Oryctolagus cuniculus: one gene and its partner. The protein of the gene in region 1 purifies or fractionates together with the protein of each later gene. This does not show direct contact. Links are inferred from orthologs where the notes say so. Each region holds a gene or a part of one and is shown in the gene's direction. Other genes may lie near its edges.

Region 1 (4,524 bases):
GACAGACAGGATCTCCTGTCCACTGGTTCCATCTCAAATGAACAAATGCCAGGGCTGAGCCATGGCAAAACCAGAACTCAGAACTCCATCTCAGGGCCAGCGCTGGGGCCTAGTGGGTAAAAGTCTGCCCATCTCATATGGGCACCAGTTCAAGTCCCAGCTCCCTGCTATGGCCTGGAAAAGTAGGGGAGGATGGCCAAGGCCCAAGGGCCCCTGCATCCACGTGGGAGACCTGGAAGAAGCTCCTGGGTCTTGGCTTTGGACCTGCTCAACCCTGGCCATTGCGGCTATTTAGGGAGTAAACCAGCAGATGGAAGATCTTTCTCCCTCTAACTCTGTTCTTCGAATAAGTGAATCTTAAAAAAAAAAAAAAAGAAAGAAATCTGGGTCTGGCCAGCGCCACAGCTCACTAGGTTAATCCTCCGCCTTGCGGCGCTGGCACACCGGGTTCTAGTCCTGGTCGGGGCGCTGGATTCTGTCCCGGTTGCCCCTCTTCCAGGCCAGCTCTCTGCTATGGCCAGGGAGTGAGTGCTTGGGCCCTGCACCCCATGGGAGAACAGGAGAAGTACCTGCCTCCTGCCATTGGATCAGCGCAGCGCGCCGGCCGCGGCGGCCATTGGAGGGTGAGCCAACGGCAAAGGAAGACCTTTCTCTCTGTCTCTCTCACTGTCCACTCTGCCTGTAAAAAAAAAAAAAAAAAAAAAAAAAAATCTGGGTCCACGTGGGTCGCAGTGACCACTTGCTACCTGCCACCGTGCACACTGGCAGGAAGCTAGAATCTGAACCAGAACCTGGACTTGAACTCAGACACTCCAATACGGGATGCAGGATGTGCCCCATGTGGTGTCTTAGCCTCCAGGCCAAGCGTCCACCCCAGCCCTTCCATTAATTCACCCTTCCACTAATTTGGTAACGTGAGATTCCAAAATGCATTTCACGTCGCCGTATTTCTGCTTTAATCCAGCCAACGCAGTACACACTTTCTCCGGGTATCTCGAAGATACCAACAAGTGACTTAGCTTGTGCCGTGGAGTGGTGACTGGGAATTAAGAAACAGCCACTGTGCAACAGCGTCCAGTAGACGATTTCCAATATGCAATGCAGACGCGAACTCTTCCCCGCTAAGAAACAGCGCAAGCCCTGCAGCGTGACCCTGGTCGGTGTGCAAATGAGGCTCCTTCCGTACTTACGGCAGGCTCAGGCCGCTCCCTGCGCGGCCGGTTCGCCGCTGCCCGCTGGGCGCCGCCCTCGCGGCCCGGCCCGAGGACCCGCACGGGGTGCCCGCGGCGGCGCCTGACGGGAGTGCCGTTCCTGGGGGGGCGTCTTCGCGCTCTGCGCCCCGCGCCCCGCGCCCCGCGCTCCGTGCAGTTCCTTGGGAGCGCGGCGCGCGGCGCGTCCTCCGGGGCAGGGTCGGGCAGCGCGGGGCGGCGCGCGCACACGCAGGCGGGGCGCGGCCGCCCCCGCCAGGACCGGCGGGCCCGGAAATGCTCGCTGTCACAAAGGGGGGAACACGTGGGCGCCGACTGCCGGGCCGGCGGTCGCAGGGAGCCGGGGTCGCCTAAAGAGCCGCCCACCGTCTCCGAGGCCCGCCCAACTTCTCCGCCCCGGCCTCCCAGTTGGGGAGGGGGATTCCCGGCCCTGCCCGACCACCTCCCTCCAGTACGTACACGCGGCGCGAACCCGCGTCCACCGGACGCCGAACCGCTATTGCGAACTCCCGCACTCCCGGAGACCCCTGCGATCCTGGGGAGACCTCCGCCCCTCTTCCCCCAGGCGGGCTCTCCTTGTCACTGTGAGAGCTAGCCCCTGGGCTCCTGAGGCCTGAGCATCTCGGGCGCCTGCGGCAAAGGAGCCACCCCCCCCCCCGAGGGCCCCCTCTCTCTTCAATATAGGGTCCCTGCGTCCCTCAGTCTACCCCCGTCTCTTTCTCCCAGGTTTCGCCATCTCGTCCGGGACCCGCATAACCATGTCCATCCTTTACGTCTCCCCTCACCCCGATGCCTTCCCCAGCCTCCGGGCCCTCATAGCTGCTCGCTATGGGGAGGCTGGAGAGGGACCAGGATGGGGAGGAGCCCACCCCCGAATCTGTCTCCAGCCGCCCCCAACCAGTAGGACGCCCTTTCCCCCACCCCGCCTGCCGGCCCTGGAGCAGGGGCCCGGTGGGCTGTGGGTGTGGGGGGCCACGGCTGTGTCTCAGCTGCTGTGGCCAGCGGGCCTCGGGGGCTCTGGGGGCAGCCAGGCGGCTGTCCTCGTCCAACAGTGGGTCAGCTACGCCGACACGGAGCTAATACCGGCTGCCTGTGGGGCTACGCTGCCGGCCCTGGGACTGCGAAGCCCAGCTCAGGACCCCCAGGTGAGTGGGGAGGAGAGGAGGGTGAGGGGGAAATTGGAGATGATCGTAATAGAGCCATCAGATACGGAAAAACGTTGATCAAGTCCCAGATTGTCACCGAGTGTGGTAGCCTTGGGCTGGCTTCTTAAACTCTGAGCCGGGTGCCTGATGTAATACCAGCCTCGCTGAGTTAATGCGATTAAAGGATGTGTCAGAGCACACAGTCCCATGCCAGGCAGCTTCGAAGTTTCCAGGTAGAAGTTTGTGAGTTGGATGAGAATAGATAGGGGTGACTGGGACTTGAGAGAAGCCTGGGTGAGGGAGAGGTGGCGGCTGCTGGAAGGAGATAAAGGAGAAATTAAATGAGGAGGAAGGGAGAGGAGAAACCCTACCAGTTATGTCTGTAAGTCCTTCCAGAGCAGGGCTGTGCCTACCCGCAGCTCCGCCTCCTGCTACGGCATGTGGCAGGCTCGTGGTGTTTCTCGAATGAATGAATTTGTGACACAGACCCTGGCGTCATCGCCCTGTCTAAAATAGTCTCTTTTTCCTAGAATTTCTTGTTCCCATCAGCCTGCTGTGTGTTTCTTTGTAAGAGTTAAGAAAGGGCTGTGTACTAAGTAGTTGCTCATGTGTGGTCCTCCCTGTAAGCTGGCAGGCAGGGCTCGGCCTGTCCACGTGGGTGCCTCATTCCCCAGACAGGCGCTTTAAAAGAAATTAAGCCCTGGACCTGGTGATTACTTTGCTGCCTCGGAGGATCTTTAATTCCTGTGCTTACTGTATGGCCCTGGCACATAGTACGTGTTCAATAGAGATTTGCTGGATGCGTCAGAAGTATTGATATGAGTGTGTGAGCGAAGGAGAGACTGACCTCAGAGGTGGTGATCTGCAGGAGTGGGTGTGGAGGGAGGCCTACCAGATCGGGTTAGGGGGTGGACCAGGCCTGTCTCATCCCCTTCCCCTTCCCGCAGGCTGCCCTGGGAGCCCTGGGCAGGGCCTTGAGCCCCTTGGAGGAGTGGCTCCGTCTGCACACCTACCTGGCTGGGGAGGCCCCCACGCTGGCTGACCTGGCAGCTGTCACAGCCCTGCTGCTGCCGTTCCGATATGTGAGTCACTGGGGCCTGGGGAGGAACCGAGAGCCCCTCTCTGACCTTGCTATAGGGTGGCTGAGATGGTCATTCCCCGTGTTAGGTCCTGGACCCCTCGGCCCGCCAGGTCTGGGGTAACGTGACCCGCTGGTTCCTCACGTGCGTCCAGCAGCCGGAATTCCGCGCCGTGTTGGGAGAAGTGGTTCTGTACTCGGGGGCCAGGCCCTTCTCTCAGCAGCCAGGTGAGGGAGGGCGGATGGCGGCTCCTCTCCGGCTGGCCGGGGCCTGCAACAGCCTGCGTGAGAGGCGGTAGCACTGTTACAGAGGGTCCCAGGGACTGAGTGTGACCTCCTGCACCTCTCTCCAGGCCCTGAGGTGGCTGCACCCCCAAAGACAGCTGCTCAGCTCAAGAAAGAGGCAAAGAAGCGGGAGAAGCTAGAAAAATTCCAACAGAAGCAGAAAATGCAGCAGCAGCAGCCCCCCCCAGGGGAGGTGAGAGGCTCAGGGTGCAGCTGGAGGAGGTGGTACCCGGGAGGGGTGGGGAGGGGTGGCTGATAGCCTGGGCCTTGTCGTATCCCACCCCCACCCCCACCCCCCGCAGAAGAAACCAAAACCAGAGAAGAAGGAGAAACGGGATCCTGGGGTCATCACCTATGACCTCCCAACCCCACCCGGAGAGAAGAAAGGTAACCCCACCCTCCAGCTGCTCCGTCCAAGCGTTTGCCCCTTCTTGCTCCGGCCTTGCGGCCTTGCGTGCATCACGCTGCTCAGTGAGGGTGTCCGTCTCGCGATGGGCGTGCTAGAAGCCTGTCCCCCTGCGGGCCCACCCCTTGCCCCTGCTCTCAGCCGCACACTGAGCCCTCCCCTCCGCCCCGCAGACGTCAGTGGCACCATGCCTGACTCATACAGCCCGCAGTACGTGGAGGCCGCCTGGTACCCTTGGTGGGAGCAACAGGGCTTCTTTAAGCCGGAGTATGGGGTGAGTGGGCGCGGGGTCGGGAGGGAGGGGAGGGGCTGGAGGATGCTCTGCCTGTGGGCGGGGACTGAGGCCTCAGCGCGCTGTCCTCCACTCTCAGCGTCCCAGCGTGTCCACGCCCAACCCCCGAG
Region 2 (4,428 bases), about 40 Mb from region 1:
AGGGGCGCAGAAGGCAGAGGCGAGGGAGCAGCAGGACCCGGCCGTGATCCACAGAGGAAGAGGCTCCGGGGCTTCCTCTCAGACCAGCGAGGCGCCAAGGCTGAGGACTGGGCGGGAAGACACCCCGAACCTCGATACCTCTGCGGTGCAGCGGGGAGAGTGGAAGACCCCGGAGGTGCCCTCGCCGCCGCCCTCCCCCCACCTCTCGCCGCCAGAGCCCAGAGTAATTCATACAAAAGAGGACTCGCCTCAGTCTCGGGGAAGCCCAGGGACCGTCGCTAAACTCCCGTTACCCTAGAACCGAGAGATCGCCGCGTCCCCGCCCCCTACCCCTCGCGCTCGTCGTCACCGGGACCGAGGCGAGCATGCGCGAGGCGCTGTGTGCTCGTCAGTGGTCGGAGCGCACATCGCCCACGGTCCCCGAGGCGTTGGGGGAGGGGACGGCGATTGAACCGGTGCCTAGTGGAGGTGGCGCGGGGCAAACTGGGAAAGCGGTGTCGTGTGCTGACTCCGCCCTCTTCCCGAGGGTGGGGGAGAACCGTATATAAGTGCCGTAGTCGCCCTGGACGTTCTTTTTCGCAACGGGTTTGCCGCCAGAACACAGGTGAGTGTCGGGTGTGGCTTCCGCGGGTCTGGCCTTGAGCGGGCTGGGGCCCTCGCGTGCTCGGGGACACTGCCATGCCACTGAGCCTCTTGACGAGGTTCCTGGCTCCGAATTTCGGGCTGTAACGGGGCGGGAGGGTTGGAGGTTTGCGCGTTTTCCAGGAGCCTCTTCCTCGTGCTGGAGTTGAGGCCTGGCGTGGCCGCCGCGTGCGAGTCCTCTCGCCTTCGCGCCGGCCTGGCTAGCCTCGCTCGCGGGGCCCTTCGGCCCTTTGAGTTTTTACGTGGATCGGTACGGCTCTTTTTTTGTTCGTCGAGATGGGCCCGCCGAGGCCGGGCGGGCTACCCCGCGCGTTCGTCGTCCGGCCCGAGGGGGTGGCAGGGCGGCCGCGCGGCGTAGGGACAGCGAGCGGCGGGGCCCGCCCGTCCGGGCGCACATGTCGGGCGCGGCCTGGGCGAGGCCCGACGGCGCCGCGCCTGCCCAGGCCGGGCGAGGGGAGAGGCGAGGGTCGTGGGGCGGGCGGCTCGGTGGGGCCGCGGCCGCCCCACCCCGGGCGGCGGAGCCCGGCCCGCTCGGCACCAGTTGCGTGCGCGGAAAAAGATGGCCGCTCGCCGTCCCCGCTGCAGGGAGCTCAAAATGGAGGACGCGGTGGCCCGGGAGAGCGGGCGGGTGAGTCACCCACACAAAGGAAAAGAGCCTTCCCCTCTTCGGCCGCCGCTTCCTGCGACCCCACGGGGTACAGGGCGCCGTCTGGGCACCTGGCTTCTTCGTGTGGCCTTTGGAGTTCGGCTTGGCTCGGCTGGGGGCGGAGATTTTTTAGGCGATGGAGTTAACTCACTCGGTGGGTGGAGACTGAAGAGTTAGGCCAGCTTGGCATTGGATGTAATTCTCCTTGGAATTTGCCCTTTTGAGTTTTGAACGTGGCTTAGTCTCAACCCTCGGACAGTGGTTCAAAGGTTCCCCCCCTTTTTCCATTTTAGGTGTCGTGAAAACCACCGCTAAATCAAAGCCAAAATGGGAAAGGAAAAGACTCACATCAACATCGTCGTCATTGGCCACGTAGATTCGGGCAAGTCCACCACCACTGGCCATCTGATCTACAAATGTGGTGGCATCGACAAAAGAACCATTGAAAAATTTGAGAAGGAGGCTGCCGAGGTATGTCCAGTATCGCAAGGGAAAGATGCTGAATTACATTAAGTCTGGCCACTAAAATGAGAGTGCTATGACTATAAAAGACAACAGTGATTAGTTGTCTGAATGTGAATGTTAAAATCACGAGCCACCATATCGACTGGAGAGCCACCTAGGCCCAGCAGTTTGGGAAGCGGAATGCATTCCCAAGCGGAGGGGGGCATGGGGTTTCAAGCTTTGCTGTGTCTTAGTAACCGTCTGAGTGCTCTGTGTAATTACAGATGGGAAAGGGCTCCTTCAAGTATGCCTGGGTCTTGGATAAACTGAAAGCCGAGCGTGAGCGTGGTATCACCATCGACATCTCCCTGTGGAAATTTGAGACCAGCAAGTATTACGTGACTATCATTGATGCCCCAGGACACAGAGACTTCATCAAAAACATGATTACAGGCACATCTCAGGTTTGTGCAACTAGTAACTGTAGACATAAGGTTTTCTAGGCGGGGGGTGGGTGAGTTCCTCCTTAGGTTTGAGGTACCTTCGTTCACAGTGTGTGTCCTTGATTTCTTTAAAGGCTGACTGTGCCGTCCTGATTGTTGCTGCTGGTGTCGGGGAATTTGAAGCTGGTATCTCCAAGAACGGGCAGACCCGTGAGCATGCCCTTCTGGCTTACACGCTGGGTGTGAAACAGCTAATTGTTGGTGTTAACAAGATGGATTCCACTGAGCCACCCTACAGCCAGAAGAGATACGAGGAAATCGTTAAGGAAGTCAGCACCTACATTAAGAAAATTGGCTACAACCCTGACACAGTAGCATTTGTGCCAATTTCTGGTTGGAACGGTGACAACATGCTGGAGCCAAGTGCTAATGTAAGTGACTTTCAAGACAGTGCTTGTTAAAGAGCTGGAAGTGGTGATGTGATAGAATTAATTGTTCTCTTGTGTTTCAGATGCCGTGGTTCAAGGGATGGAAAGTCACCCGCAAAGATGGCAATGCCAGTGGAACCACACTGCTTGAAGCCCTGGACTGCATCCTTCCACCAACTAGACCAACTGACAAGCCTCTGCGTCTGCCCCTACAGGATGTCTACAAAATTGGTGGTAAGTTGGGTATTAATGTAACATCAGAATATAACTTGAATTGGAACAGGTGAAAAATCTTTGGCCCTCAATAACTCTTTGGTAATCTGCAAATATTTTAGGTATTGGCACTGTCCCTGTGGGCCGAGTGGAGACTGGTGTTCTCAAACCTGGCATGGTGGTAACTTTTGCTCCAGTCAATGTCACAACTGAAGTCAAGTCCGTCGAAATGCACCATGAAGCTTTGAGTGAAGCTCTTCCTGGGGACAATGTGGGCTTCAATGTCAAGAACGTGTCTGTCAAAGATGTTCGTCGTGGCAACGTTGCTGGTGACAGCAAAAATGACCCACCAATGGAAGCAGCTGGCTTCACTGCTCAGGTAACAATTTAAAATGATCTGTTAATTGACAATGTTCATGCATACTCAAGGGGGTAAGCAATCTGATGCATGTATGAAGTGTTATCACATCAGGGGAGTTAGCATTTCTAGCTGTTACCACAGTTCAGTTTGAGAAGCACTAAAATGCATATCCTTTTTTTCCCAGGTGATCATCCTGAACCATCCAGGTCAGATCAGTGCTGGGTATGCCCCTGTACTGGATTGTCACACAGCTCACATTGCTTGCAAGTTTGCTGAGCTGAAGGAAAAGATTGATCGTCGTTCTGGAAAGAAGTTGGAAGATGGCCCTAAATTCTTGAAATCTGGTGATGCTGCCATTGTTGATATGGTTCCCGGCAAGCCCATGTGTGTTGAGAGCTTCTCTGACTATCCTCCTCTGGGTAAGGATTTTTTTTTTTATTGCTATTACAAGTTGTACTAAAGATTAACAATTGCTTCTGTGAACTATGTGTCTCATGGCAACTCAATACTTGTTTTAATAGGTCGTTTCGCTGTCCGTGATATGAGACAGACGGTTGCTGTGGGTGTGATCAAAGCAGTGGACAAGAAGGCTGCTGGAGCTGGCAAGGTCACCAAGTCTGCCCAGAAAGCTCAGAAGGCTAAATGAATATTACCCCTAATACCTGCCACCCCAGTCTTAATCAGTGGTGGAAGAACGGTCTCAGAACTGTTTGTCTCAATTGGCCATTTAAGTTTAATAGTAAAAGACTGGTTAATGATAACAATGCATCGTAAAACCTTCAGAAGGAAAGGAGAATGTTTTGTGGACCATTTTTTTTGTGCGTGGCAGTTTTAAGTTATTAGTTTTTAAAATCAGTACTTTTTAATGGAAACAACTTGACCAAAAATCTGTCACAGAATTTTGAGACCCATTAAAACAAAGTTTAATGAGAAACCTGTGTCTTCTTGTCAACACTGGACCTGTCAAATGTGTTCCAGGTTTTTCTAATTAGAATTGGCTGGAATTTTAAAACTCCATGGGTTAGGGATTTTTTCCCACCTGTTTGTTTTAAGCTATGGAGGGCTGTTAGCCCTGCTGGTTAGAACTGTTGACATGTAATTTAGTTTAGAAAGCAAAATTCTGTAATCTTAAGGGATGAAATGTTGCATATAAAATTGTGTAGCTACAAGTAAATTTGTTAGAATCATTAAATTTTGGTTTCCCAAATTACTTGAAGTTTTAGTAAAACAGCACTGGTTTCTAGGGTCCTA

What was found.
Region 2: the proteins of VARS1 (region 1) and EEF1A1 purify together in Homo sapiens (affinity purification with mass spectrometry; 3 studies listed by BioGRID and IntAct, counting the BioPlex papers as one, with this or other methods). This does not show direct contact. The link is inferred for Oryctolagus cuniculus from reciprocal best matches to the Homo sapiens genes VARS1 and EEF1A1.

Annotation. Positions count from the first base shown.
Region 1 is NC_091436.1:138,825,840-138,830,363, forward strand, and holds the start of VARS1 (valine--tRNA ligase), read left to right. Parts: upstream 1-1,446; 5' UTR 1,447-1,659; intron 1,660-1,934; 5' UTR 1,935-1,966; coding exon 1,967-2,353; intron 2,354-3,300; coding exon 3,301-3,435; intron 3,436-3,520; coding exon 3,521-3,659; intron 3,660-3,784; coding exon 3,785-3,909; intron 3,910-4,018; coding exon 4,019-4,103; intron 4,104-4,295; coding exon 4,296-4,396; intron 4,397-4,493; coding exon 4,494-4,524. UniProt on the Homo sapiens protein: Catalyzes the attachment of valine to tRNA(Val).
Region 2 is NC_091436.1:99,027,528-99,031,955, forward strand, and holds EEF1A1 (elongation factor 1-alpha 1), read left to right. Parts: upstream 1-1,587; 5' UTR 1,588-1,615; coding exon 1,616-1,759; intron 1,760-2,016; coding exon 2,017-2,196; intron 2,197-2,309; coding exon 2,310-2,606; intron 2,607-2,686; coding exon 2,687-2,837; intron 2,838-2,938; coding exon 2,939-3,195; intron 3,196-3,361; coding exon 3,362-3,596; intron 3,597-3,698; coding exon 3,699-3,823; 3' UTR 3,824-4,108; downstream 4,109-4,428. UniProt on the Homo sapiens protein: Translation elongation factor that catalyzes the GTP-dependent binding of aminoacyl-tRNA (aa-tRNA) to the A-site of ribosomes during the elongation phase of protein synthesis.